Xenopus tropicalis: one gene and its partners. The protein of the gene in region 2 purifies or fractionates together with the protein of the main gene of each other region. This does not show direct contact. Links are inferred from orthologs where the notes say so. Each region holds a gene or a part of one and is shown on either strand. Other genes may lie near its edges. The genes, in order: nedd4, litaf and nedd4l.

What was found.
Region 1: the proteins of litaf (region 2) and nedd4 purify together in Homo sapiens (co-immunoprecipitation; 4 studies listed by BioGRID and IntAct, counting the BioPlex papers as one, with this or other methods). This does not show direct contact. The link is inferred for Xenopus tropicalis from reciprocal best matches to the Homo sapiens genes LITAF and NEDD4.
Region 3: the proteins of litaf (region 2) and nedd4l purify together in Homo sapiens (affinity purification with western blotting; 3 studies listed by BioGRID and IntAct, counting the BioPlex papers as one, with this or other methods). This does not show direct contact. The link is inferred for Xenopus tropicalis from reciprocal best matches to the Homo sapiens genes LITAF and NEDD4L.

Annotation. Positions count from the first base shown.
Region 1 is NC_030679.2:100,447,971-100,452,139, forward strand, and holds the start of nedd4 (E3 ubiquitin-protein ligase NEDD4), read left to right. Parts: upstream 1-1,348; 5' UTR 1,349-2,011; coding exon 2,012-3,463; intron 3,464-4,169. UniProt on the Homo sapiens protein: E3 ubiquitin-protein ligase which accepts ubiquitin from an E2 ubiquitin-conjugating enzyme in the form of a thioester and then directly transfers the ubiquitin to targeted substrates. Specifically ubiquitinates 'Lys-63' in target proteins.
Region 2 is NC_030685.2:36,370,498-36,374,536, forward strand, and holds the start of litaf (lipopolysaccharide-induced tumor necrosis factor-alpha factor homolog), read left to right. Parts: upstream 1-1,180; 5' UTR 1,181-1,307; intron 1,308-4,039.
Region 3 is NC_030677.2:201,923,128-201,927,400, forward strand, and holds the start of nedd4l (E3 ubiquitin-protein ligase NEDD4-like), read right to left. Parts: upstream 2,849-4,273; 5' UTR 2,708-2,848; coding exon 2,669-2,707; intron 1-2,668. UniProt on the Homo sapiens protein: E3 ubiquitin-protein ligase that mediates the polyubiquitination of lysine and cysteine residues on target proteins and is thereby implicated in the regulation of various signaling pathways including autophagy, innate immunity or DNA repair.

The DNA of each region.
Region 1 (4,169 bases), on a different chromosome or scaffold from region 2:
ACATAGAACCTACCGAGCCAATACTATAGTCTTTTTATTTGAAAACTATAGGCTCTACTTCACATTTCACTAAAAGGGTTGACTTTATAATAACATTATAAGGATTTGCACACAAACTGTATACCATGCATGATTCCTGTAAACTCTGATACTCTGCAGTCAGTGGGGATTTTCTCACTGGCTTCTAATTGTGTTTTGGCATGCTCCTGGTTTACTTATAGCCAAACCCCATGGGTCTTGTGGAAACTGCAGGAAGATTTGGAATGGTTTAACCAGGCCAATTTCTTCTACATTTATTTTCTATTTCAAAGATTAAAACAAAACTGAATTTTATATGCTTTAATTCAGTTGACATTTTTCTGCAGAAAGGATTTTGTCTAATTAAGTTGCTTTAATTGACTAGGCCTTGTTTAGATTTAAGGAATTCCAATCCAAACGTTTACTACAGGTATAGGTTCTGTTATCTGGAAACCCATTATCTAGAAAGTTCCAAATTACGGGAGAGCTACCTGCCATGAACTCCATTATAAGCAAAGAGAACAATGGGAAGGTAGCAAAATAATAAGAAATCCAAGTCTGGCTTGGGACTCCTCCAGTTACAAGGGAGTAGGAGAAACAATAGGTTACCTGAAAGCAGTTCTAATATGTAGCGCTGGCTCCTTCTGAAAGCTCAGACTCAGGCACAATGCACTGAGATGGCTGCCTACACACCATTATTACAACTGAAAAATACATTTGTTGGTTCAAGAATAACACTTAAAATGGTAAAGTAAATTATTTGCTATGTAAACAGTGTTATTTATAAATAAAAAGTACACCATAAAAATCATGACAATCCCTTTAATATTTAAATAATTTTTTGGCAGACCTAAGGTAAGGAGATTCAAAGGAGATCCCTTATCTGCAAACCCCTGGTAACTAATATTATTTATCCAACATTCTCCAACAATGGAATTTTTAGTAAAACCACTAGGTGGCACCACAGGACAGTTGTGAGTTACAAAGTTTGCTTATCAAGCCTACATTCTGTTTTTTAAATTTATTTATTTTATATATTTACTGCATTACATTTTTTGTAAGTATTTTACATTATGTATGCCTATGTAAATGCCATTTACCATTTCCTGTAGTCACCTAATACATTATTTCTTAAGTTATACAGAACTTAGAGGACACTCTTGTTTTATAAATATTCCTGTTGTTAAAATTAATATGACCACTATAGATTAGTTTAAATATATTAGTTGAGGCACAGTCTGTTTAGATGTAGTTTTGCCAAAAGTAAAATAATAATTCCCCATTTTAAGAGAACATATTCATTTCAGTTAAGATTGTAACTAAAAATGCCACTATAAAAATAAAAGTATTTTCTGTTATACTTGAAATATATAATAACAGGTACCAATTTCCTGCAGTTACTACTGCAGTTTACACGTGTGGATGGGCTTTAGAAATTCAATCCCAACGCCGATGCTCGATTATGTGGACCTTCATTCCTTGAAACTTCCTGTAACTTTATATCTATGGGTAAAAATATGAGAGGCTGGGAATTGCTTAGGAACACATAGGCATATTGATTCAAATGGGCAAGTGTTCCGATCTGGTACAGAAACAAAAAGTAATGCAAGAGGTCTGTTGATCTTGGGCAGGACTCATTCATGCAAATATGGGAAAGTAGAACTGAAACACGCTTGGCAGTGTTTCAGCCAGTATGCTGCAGTAAAGCTGAGCGTAAAGGTCGCTGGAAATCAACTGCCTGGAAAGTGAATGCAGTTGAAATAGAAGATATCCAAGACGGTGCAGAGCTAGGATCCTTGGAAAATGTTTGTTTCATGACGTGCTTTGCTGTACCCTTTTGCTTGTACTTTGCCTCTTGTTGACTGGGACACATTCTGCCGCTGTATGTGTATTTTCTTGCACTTATTATAGATGCTTTGCTGCTGCTTTTGGTTTGCATTTGGAGAAAGGGAGCTCTATATATTTAAATCTATAATATGTTCAGAAACAACAAATGGCTCGGCGGTTAAGACTTCACTTTGCAACTAGGAGAAGCAACACTGATCCCTTACCAGAAAGCTCTGGAGATGGCTTGGATAGTAATATTCATATGTGCTTTAAAAGACTCTCTCCAACAACTGCACCCGGTGTGATTCAAATGAGGCTGTCTCCGAGGCAAAGTGTGCAGAAGTCCTCTTCCCCAGAAACTATTCCTATACATCAAGGTCATTCTGTTTCTCCACCATGCAAAAAAAGCACTTCAGTGCAGATTTCTTTACAGCCAAGCAGGAATACTAGATGTCATCAATCTGGCAACACTGCGCCTGCTATGGAAGATATTTGCGTCGTCAGTTCTTACAAGGATGGAATTAATTCTACTATGAGCAGGAATTATAACTGTCAACCCACCATAAATGACACCTGCATCAGTAGTAGTACCTCAGCTGAAAATGGCAGTTTATTAAGCATTTCTGCAAGTGACAATGGATCATATAGTAGCAACAGCAGTGACTATGGCTCCTGTGCAAGTACCGCAAGTGATGCTGGCTCGTGTGCTAACAGTATAGTAAGTGACTGCAGTAGCTGTACTTATTCTTTAAGTGACAGCAATTACTTAAATGTATTACCCAATGGTAATGCCCTGTTCTTTAACCCAGAAGAAAACTGTGAGTTTTTTAAAAGTAAACTGGAAGAACCTTTGCCTATAAATAACTGCAAGTTCCATTTTGACCTGGATCACTCAGAAAAAGAGGAGGTCAGAATTCCTGCAAGGAAGAAAACAAGAATTCCATTAAGACGCTGCTCTTCATTAGTTATTTTTCCTTCTGACACTCCACCAACATCTCCAACTAGTCTAGTCCCTCCATTAAGCAGGGGCTGCTATCAAACTTCTTACCAGCTTATGCTATCCTCTAATGATTTTACACAAAAAGAGGAGCAAGCAGCCTCCAAGGGGTCCCTTTCAACAGCAGTCAATGGGGTTCGGCTTTCCAAAAACACCTGCAATGTTGGTGAGGTTAGAGATGTTAAGCCGCTTTACTTGAATGACAAAGATGATGGACTGCCAAATATTTGCAATTCTGTTGCAGAACACAGCAAACTGCATGAGGATAAACCTCAGCTGAACTCAGATGCACGGCACTGTCGGCTGGTGCGCAGCACATCCGCATATTCTCCCTCCAATAAAACTGTGGAATGCCAGATGGGGAGAAGCTCAGAGCAGGGATACAAAAATATTCACAAGTGCCAATTAACTCATGTTTTTCAAAGAAGTGTCTCTGAAGGTCCCCCACAAAAACGGTCCTCTGCCTCTAGCCTTAAATGTAGACATCCAAAATCAGGGTCCTCTTATTTGCACATACAGTTTGCCCCTGGAAACGAAAGCAGGATTAGTAGCTATAAGAAACAATCTTTAAGAAGCCCCACAACAGAACTGCCTGGTAAGCCTTCTGTGAAATTACTTAAGGTAAGCTTATTTAACATATTAAATTACATTTTGGGCCACCTCATCAAAATTAATGTTTTGCTTTTGCATATTTGCTTGTTATCCTTTTTATATTTATATTTCATCACCAGCTCTAAAGAGGGATTTTTGGTAGCTGTGTTTGTTGGGGGGAAGAAAAAAGATCAGGTGCTTCATTTCTTTTACAGACTCCATGTAAATGTACTAAATTTCTGAGAAGTCCCTAGCTGTTTCTCTGTAAACACTTAGCAATTACATTTAGTGTATCACACAAGTGCTCTTCTGACCCCATGGCATTTGTAATTGAATAAGCTTATTTTGGGCAAGTTTTCTCTTCAAACTGTGCAGTTCTGTGCAAGTCTTAAATTGTGAATGTGTTCTGGCCAGCTATAGTTCAGCATTGTGCACCGGTTAAAAATAAACAGCTCCCAAAATATTTCTCTTGACTCCAGTTAGTCTGGGTGTGTATACTGATATGCTGTGTGTGGGTTCAAATTTAACACGTTGATATTAGAGTAGCTTTTAGTAATGCCAGCTATCTGTACACAGCAGTCATGAAATTAAATCAGAGCTTTACTCAGGGTCTGTAGGCACTGAAGGTTTTGTACGTACTTGCTTAGGATCAGGTTGCCTTCCTTAATAATCAACAGCTTGTTAAGGACTGCTTTCTAAAATCTTCCCCAAACCATCTTATTGTAAAAAACTTCAA
Region 2 (4,039 bases):
TGAATGGACAGAGGGTGATATGCAATGTTTATTATGCCAGTTTGGCCATCATCTGAGTTTGACCTCTGAAGCTGCATAGGGTGCTATGAGAAAGGTTCCATATGGCACCCTTTGCAGCTTCAGAGGTTCCCACCAACAGGATCCTGGGTGCAGTGCCTTAGGATGAGTCTGTGCTACAAATTACAGATATACTATTATTACCAGCACATCATTAGGCCCTGGCATTTCAAGTACACAGAAGCCCAATCAGCCCCAAAACACTGTGACTGTCCGTTAAAAATTGACAATAGTCCTCCTGGCATTTGCCAGAACCTACAGTTTGCCTGTACACCATACCTCATTGGTGTTTATTCCATTTTTAGAAAGACTTTCCCTTTCCGGTCATCATATGGTGAGAAGTGGAACTGTGCAGGCCGCAGCTTAGGGGCATATTTATTATAGAGAAAATTTGTCACACATCGCCATGTAAAAATGGCGTAAAAACGGCGTAATTCTTTTACGCATTTTTTTTCCACCGGAACTTATGGAAAATAATGGCGTAATATCCGGCGTTCAGATGGTGATCTTTTCCATTTATTTTACACAGCTTTTTTTCGCCGAATTAAGTTTTATACAGCATAATAAATACGCCCCTTAGTGTCCGATCACCAGCGATCCAACATGCTGGCTTCAGAGTAAACTGCCCCAGAACCAGCATACATGCCCAGATGATGGTAGGCAGGGTGTATGAAATCAGCACACTGACCAAATCAGGCCAAGTATGACCACAGTATGACTATAGTATGACTACAGTATGGCACAACAGTGCAGCTGCCTGCACCCCTCAAGGAATACAAACTCGCCTGAGCAAACAGAGACAATAAGCTCTGTCCTGCGAAACCTGGGACAGCTGGCTGGGCTGGAAACTCTATGCACATAACCTTCACCTTCGTGAGAACTGAAACTACTCCAAAACAGAAGCACACTTACTTCCGGTGAAAAAGTTTCGCTATTTCATGGCAAAGAAAGCGTACTATAAGGGGAGGAGCAGCGCAGCGTTGGGGAACTCGGGCTCCTTGCTTGGAACACGCACACGGTGTACTCTCAGCGCTTCCGGGCCAGCGTCGCGCCCCTCAGTTTAACAGCGGGATAGGGCGGTGCCTCGTAAGCCACGCCCGCTGCAAGTTTTTCTCCGTATGTTTCCAGAGTTGTGGGAGTACAGTCCCTAGCTTTAGTGTGCCTAACTTGGATCTGCTTGTCTGAAGCTTGTCGTTGCGTTCTCCTCTGGTATTAGACAGATTCAAGGGACCATTTCTGTCAAATTTGAGGTACGTGCCTGTCTCCCCTCACCCAAGGATCGCTTTCCACGTTTACTCTATAAAGTTTTCACACTTCGAACTATGAACCGCTGCTTTCCAGCTGTGGATGAAGATGAGGAATGCTGGGAGTTGTAGTCCGGCCGCAGCTGGCGAACTGCACGGGAACGAGTGATGTCACTTGCTCTGTGTTAGAAGCAATCGCTCTTTCTTACCGATACGCTTGCTTGGCTGTAATGTTTCTGTCCGTGTATACATACTGGGTTGTGTATGTGTGTGCAAGTGTGCGCCGGTAGCGCAAAGATGGCAGCTGCTACAGATGTGTGTGTGGGTTGGAGCTGGAAAGTTTGCTATGCAGGGAGCTGTATCCGGCCGCAGCAGCAGGGTGAGAGTATCATGGTGTGTTTGTGGGTACAGGTATTTAGCAACACATGGGGCTCGATGATCGCATTAAGCTGAGCCATATTATCATTGTATTATTATTTTGCCTATTACATATTTCCTATCAGCTAGCCCTAACATTGTTGGCATTTGGACACAATAAATTGGTTGAATCATCTGTTATTAAACAAAATCACTATAATTATGATTCCTCTTGTTAAAATGAGAGATCTACCATTTACGGAAAATATGTTGTTTGCAATATGTCTATGAAGATTCTCATTCATCCAGGTCATGATATACAGTATCTAGTAGAATTAAGTCTAAAACAACTGGACTTTTCTGAGTTTTTTCCTTGAAAACGTTTCAAGATTTTCCATTTCTAACATTGGGACAGTGAAAGCCTCTTGTGTGAAATTATTCAACTGTACAACTGTACTGCTTTAAGAACAGAAGCCCTATGTAGGTATAGCCCTCTGTTTGCCCCTAAATTGCCTTTCTGGCTCCTTTATTTAGTCTAACACCTCCTCCTCCTAGCCCAGAGCAAGGGGAATGTGCAGTTGGGGCTAGGCACTCTGGTACCTGGAAGGTAAGTACCACTGCTGAGTGGAAAGGGCTTTAACCTTAGCTGGACATGGCTACTATAGGCCTGTGCAAATAAAATTAGTGACTTTTTTTTGTTAGTTCTTTAGATGCTTCTTTAACAGCAGCATAAATCTATTTGGCATGATTCCTTTGCAGTTTAGAATACACAGAATGTAATTTCAGCACAAGTTCTATTAATTCTGCTCCTATTGAAAAAAAGGTCTTTGTGTATGTATATACTATTTTTCTATATGTATTCTGCCCCTTTAAAGGGCTAGACAATGTTAAACCAATTCATTTAGTCTAACTAAAAGGCATAAAGAAGAAATACTGAAATCTGTGACATTGTCCAATAGTAACAGCTATAGTGTGATAGAGTTTACAAGGTGGAACTTTCATGTACCAGTCAGGCTGACATACCTTCCTCTATGAATTGCAGATTATTGAATATTTCATACAAACATTCTGCTAACATTCTCGGGTTTCTAAATTGGGACTTTGAGCCTGTCACAACTAGCCCATCTGTACTGCAGGAGTCCCTAATCCTGTTGCGCAGTTTACAGAATGTGTGTGTACCAGTATTATTTTAAATCCCAAACCCTATGCCATAATTTGGAAAGTGCTGCTTATAAATTGCAAAGTAGCAAGTCCTCACTGGTGTTCAAAATAGGCCCTGGAATTTCAAGTACACAGAGGGCCAAACGGTCAGTCACTATTTAGTGGGCAGTGGGGGGCTATGGCATCTTAGAGCACTACCTCTAGCACTAGCCAGAATCCACAGATTGCCAGTCCAGGCCTGCAAAATAGTACACTTTCCAGTAAACTGAAAAGAAAAGCAATGATCCAGTGTTCATACTCAGTGTATTCAGATCATTTTTTCCACCATTATAGCATCATTGGGCTTAAGTAAAACATAAACAATTCCTCAGACTGAGAGCCATAATTATCTCCTGTGACTCATAGGGACCATTTCCCCACCCCTTAAGGTGGCCGTACATGTTCAGATTTTAGTCTTTTTCCGACGAAGTTTGGATGTCAGTCATACATTTCAAGGGGATGTTTACCTTAAAATTAACGTTTATTATGATGTAGAGTGTGCTGTTCTGAAACAATTTGCAATTGGTCTTCATTTTTTTTATGTGGGGTTTTTGAATTATTTTGCTTTTTGTTTTAGCAGCTGTCTGGTTGCTAGGATCCAAATTACCTTAGCAACCAAGTAGTGGTGTGAGTGAGACATTGGGTTATAAATAGGAAAGGGCCTGAATAGAAAGAAGAGTTATAAAATATGACAATAATACATCGGAGGATGTTCTGAACATGAAATAGTTGCAGACACCAAACCTACAAAAGTTCCATTGTAGGTCCCCCAAGGATATTGTCCGATACACAAAACATGCATGTTAGCCGACCAAAATTTTTAACCTGACCGATTGGCTAAATGACCAATCACCATAGTAAGAAAATGATTGGGACGATAATTCAGAGCCCACACATGGTCCAAAAATCTTACAAAATCTCGTTTTTATCGGTGTGTATACGGCCAGCTTTAGCCTGGCAGAGTCATTCAACCCCTGGGACTTGAAGTTGCTTTTTAAAGGATCTATGCAGTGGCCACTGTGGAAAGCAGAGGAACTTCAACTCTATAAATCCATCACTTCACCACAGTACAATATGAGCGAGGGGTTGAATGACTGTCAGCCTAACTGGGGGTGGGCAGTGGACTGTGTGAGTCAGAAGCAGGTCATTGTGTTTTCTCTATATCTGTGGAATAGTGTATG
Region 3 (4,273 bases), on a different chromosome or scaffold from region 2:
AATCGGGCAGGTTTGAATTTTCCGTCATATCGGGTACCGCATCGGCTCGTTGACGTGTCCCTGAAACTGCTGTGCCTATATAGCCGATATTGGCAACCTGTAGGTAGGGATATGTGGAGAAGATCCGCCCGCTTGGCAACCTCGCCAAACAAGTGCCGTGTATGGCCACCTTTAGATATACCTGATACTGATAGAGGATGTCTTATATATGTGGGGCTTTTTTATGAGCTAAGGGGATGCATAAGGGCCCCCAACTCTATCAATCTAAAGAGCTCTGCCCTAATAATAATGATTTTAGTGTAAATCCTGTGCTGCAATCTGCTGCTGGGCTACGCCACATACATAACCTACATACAGCTTAATCTGACAATGTTATTTACAGTAATATATATATAACCTGGGCAGAGCTGCTGCCAGTGTCAAGTACCCACACAGTGAGGTGGGCGCATATAGAGAGAGGGGAGGCACCACTCCCTTAGCCCAGAATTCAAGCTTTCGAATGAATTCCTGCACAAATGTCAGCGCTTGGCTGAAAAAGAAATGCCCTGCAGGAGCCTCACCTCCAACTCCCGGGCGCACATACCATGTGCACTATGCATTCCATAGGCGTCACACACTGAGCCAACACCCACAGCAGGTACCGGGGGCACCTGAAATCATTCAAACAGGGACCATAGAGTAATATTGCCCAGAGAACTGGTAGTGCCCCTGGCACTATAGGTAGTTGGCGCCTCTGCATTCTAGCAATAGCAGCTCAGACTCACCCCCCACCCCCACAACACACCCAGATACACCACCAGATACACCACCACCCCCAGCTGGTTTAGTTCATTTAAACTATTCAATCAGGCATTGGCACTTTACAATATATATATATATATATATATATATAGCCACTAGTATGATGCCAGCTTGCAATACTGCCCATATGACCAAGCAATACAAAGAGGGGGCTCTTCCCCATGCTGCAGTGCCAATGCTGTGCCAGACTGACGGGATGCCAAACAGCAGTATTCCTGGCATGCCAATGTACATATAAGCAGTTGAACTCCCGGGATGTTGCCCAGCCGCAGCCAGTCACACAGATGCCAGTACTACAGATGGTCCCAAACTGCCTCAACCAGCAGTACTTATGGGATGCCAACAGGGTACTTATGGGATGCCAACAGGGTACTTATGGGATGCCAACAGGGTACTTATGGGATGCCAACAGGTTACTGATGGGAAGCCAGCCTTCCTGCCCAAGCAGTATACAGGGTGCCAGCCTTCATGCCCAAGCAGTATACAGGGTGCCAGCCTTCATGCCCAAGCAGTATACAGGGTGCCAGCCTTCATGCCCAAGCAGTATACAGGGTGCCAGCCTTCATGCCCAAGCAGTATACAGGGTTCCAGCCTTCATGCCCAAGCAGTATACAGTGTGCCAGCCTTCCTGCCCAAGCAGTATACAGTGTGCCAGCCTTCTTGCCCAAGCAGTATACAGGGTGCCCAGCCTTCATGCCCAAGCAGTATACAGGGTGCCAGCCTTCATGCCCAAGCAGTATACAGGGTTCCAGCCTTCATGCCCAAGCAGTATACAGGGTGCCAGCCTTCATGCCCAAGCAGTATACAGGGTGCCAGCCTTCATGCCCAAGCAGTATACAGGGTGCCAGCCTTCATGCCCAAGCAGTATACAGGGTGCCCAGCCTTCATGCCCAAGCAGTATACAGGGTGCCCAGCCTTCATGCCCAAGCAGTATACAGGGTGCCAGCCTTCATGCCCAAGCAGTATACAGGGTGCCAGCCTTCATGCCCAAGCAGTATACAGGGTGCCAGCCTTCATGCCCAAGCAGTATACAGGGTGCCCAGCCTTCATGCCCAAGCAGTATACAGGGTGCCCAGCCTTCATGCCCAAGCAGTATACAGGGTGCCCAGCCTTCATGCCCAAGCAGTATACAGGGTGCCCAGCCTACATGCCCAAGCAGTATACAGGGTGCCCAGCCTTCATGCCCAAGCAGTATACAGGGTGCCCAGCCTTCATGCCCAAGCAGTATACAGGGTGCCAGCCTTCATGCCCAAGCAGTATACAGGGTGGGTGCCACCGGCAGTATAGATAGGGTGGGTGCCAGCCCCCTTTGATTTACAGGCTACTGATGGGATGCCAACATACACAGGGTGCCAGTGACAGTATAGATAGGGTGGGTGCTAGACCATTCTGATTTACAGGGCTATGGGATGCCAGCCTCTCCTTCTCACATGTACTTAGGGATGCCAGCCTTGCCCAGCAGTATGCCAGCCTTGCCCAGCTGTATGCCAGCCTTGCCCAGCTGTATGCCAGCCTTGCCCAGCAGTATGCCAGCCTTGCCCAGCAGTATGCCAGCCTTGCCCAGCAGTATGCCAGCCTTTCCCAGCAGTATGCCAGCCTTGCCCAGCAGTATGCCAGCCTTGCCCAGCAGTATGCCAGCCTGCTGCACCTAACAGCACTGGTACCAATGGCACTACCTATTCTCACTGACCCACCATTGGGAGATGCCAGGCAATTCCTGTATGAGTTCTGCCCAATGACAGAAGCTACTGCCCCTATGCCAGTCTGGGCGAAGTGTTGCCCCTTCAGCTGGCAGCTGTGGTTGGACGGCCTCTGCTTGCCCCCCTGTGCCACCCACACAATTAAAGAGACACAAACATGTACTTACATCGTCTTCTGAGAGTCCATAAATGGGTTCAGCCGCCATGGGGAGAGTTGGGGTGCAATTACCCCTAATCCTTTGCGCACAGTAGATGGGAAACAATAGGAGGGCGCTGGCCAGCTGCCGCTCACTAGGTGCCTATTCCGGGTATAAGGTCCGTGCCGGTGCCGGCGGGTAGAGAGGAAGAGCCAGACCCGCCACTCACACGATGTCCCCCCGATCCCTGTCAGGCACAGTCCCAGTTCTCACACAAACGCACACGGGCCCCGCCCACCCAGCGCCAATCAGGAGCCGCCCAGCCCAGAGAGGCGTGGCCAGGGCTCAGGGACGCTCAATGAAAGTGGGGAGGGGCAGGGCGCCGGGGAAGTTCGGTTGAATCGCTCCTCACAGTCAGTGTCATGGGACCGTCCGGCCGCTCTGAGGCTTTTCCTCTGCTGCTGGGACAAACAGGAAGCTTGGGAAATGTAGTAGGAAACAGCTGAAGGGATGCTGGTAGTTGTAGTCAGGAGCAGGAGGGCGGCAGGTTGGATGTGCCAGTGTGTGTGTGAGGGAGGAAGCGCAGTGTGCAGCCTTTCCCTGTCCCTGATCCAACAGCGCCGTCTGCTGGAGACTGAGAGAGAGGCGGCGTCTGTGTCAGGAAGCAGTGACCTGCACCTATAGCCTCTAGCTCCTAGTGTGTCTGTAGCAATAAACAAACACTGCTTTTATTTGGAATTATATATACCTTTAGGGTGAAGTCACACTGAGCTACTAGTAGCAGCTACTAAACTCCAGAAACTCTCCTGCCATAGACAATACTGAGAATTGTCTCTGCTAAGACACACAAAGAGACGATTATCAGTAAATGATCAGCATTGGCTATTTTAGTAGCCATGACAAGTAGCTGCTACTAGTAGCTCCGTGTGTCTTCACACTTAAGGGCTCTGGCACACGGGGGAGATTAGTCGCCCGCGGCAAAACTCCCTGTTCGCGGGCGACTAATCTCCCCGAGTTGCCATGACCCGCCATCCCGCCGGCGAACATGTAAGTCACCGGTGGGATGGCACACACGGCGGCGCGATTTCCCGAAATCGCCGGAAAAGACTCACAAGTCTTTTCCACCAGCGACTTCTGTTGTTGCCAGTGGAAAAGCATTTCAGAGTTGATAGTCACCTGCAGTAGCAGAGATCTATCACAGGTGACTTAATCGCCCCATGGGCCACCAACCTAAGAAATGTAATCATGGTAGGATAGGATCTGTGCCACTGTGACAGAATGCTCTGTTATACAGATAGCTAGAATCTCAGCCATAAAGCAGGGCAGGACTGCTGCTTACAATGGGGGGATCAGATAGGATCTGTGCCACTGTGACAGAATGCCCTGTTATACAGATAGCTAGAATCTCAGCCATAAAGCAGGGCAGGACTGCTGCTTACAATGGGGGGATCAGATAGGATCTGTGCCACTGTGACAGAATGCTCTGTTATACAGATAGCTAGAATCTCAGCCATAAAGCAGGGCAGGACTGCTGCTTACAATGGGGGGATCAGATAGGATCTGTGCCACTGTGACAGAATGCTCTGTTATACAGATAGCTAGAATCTCAGCCATAAAGCAGGGCAGGACTGCTGC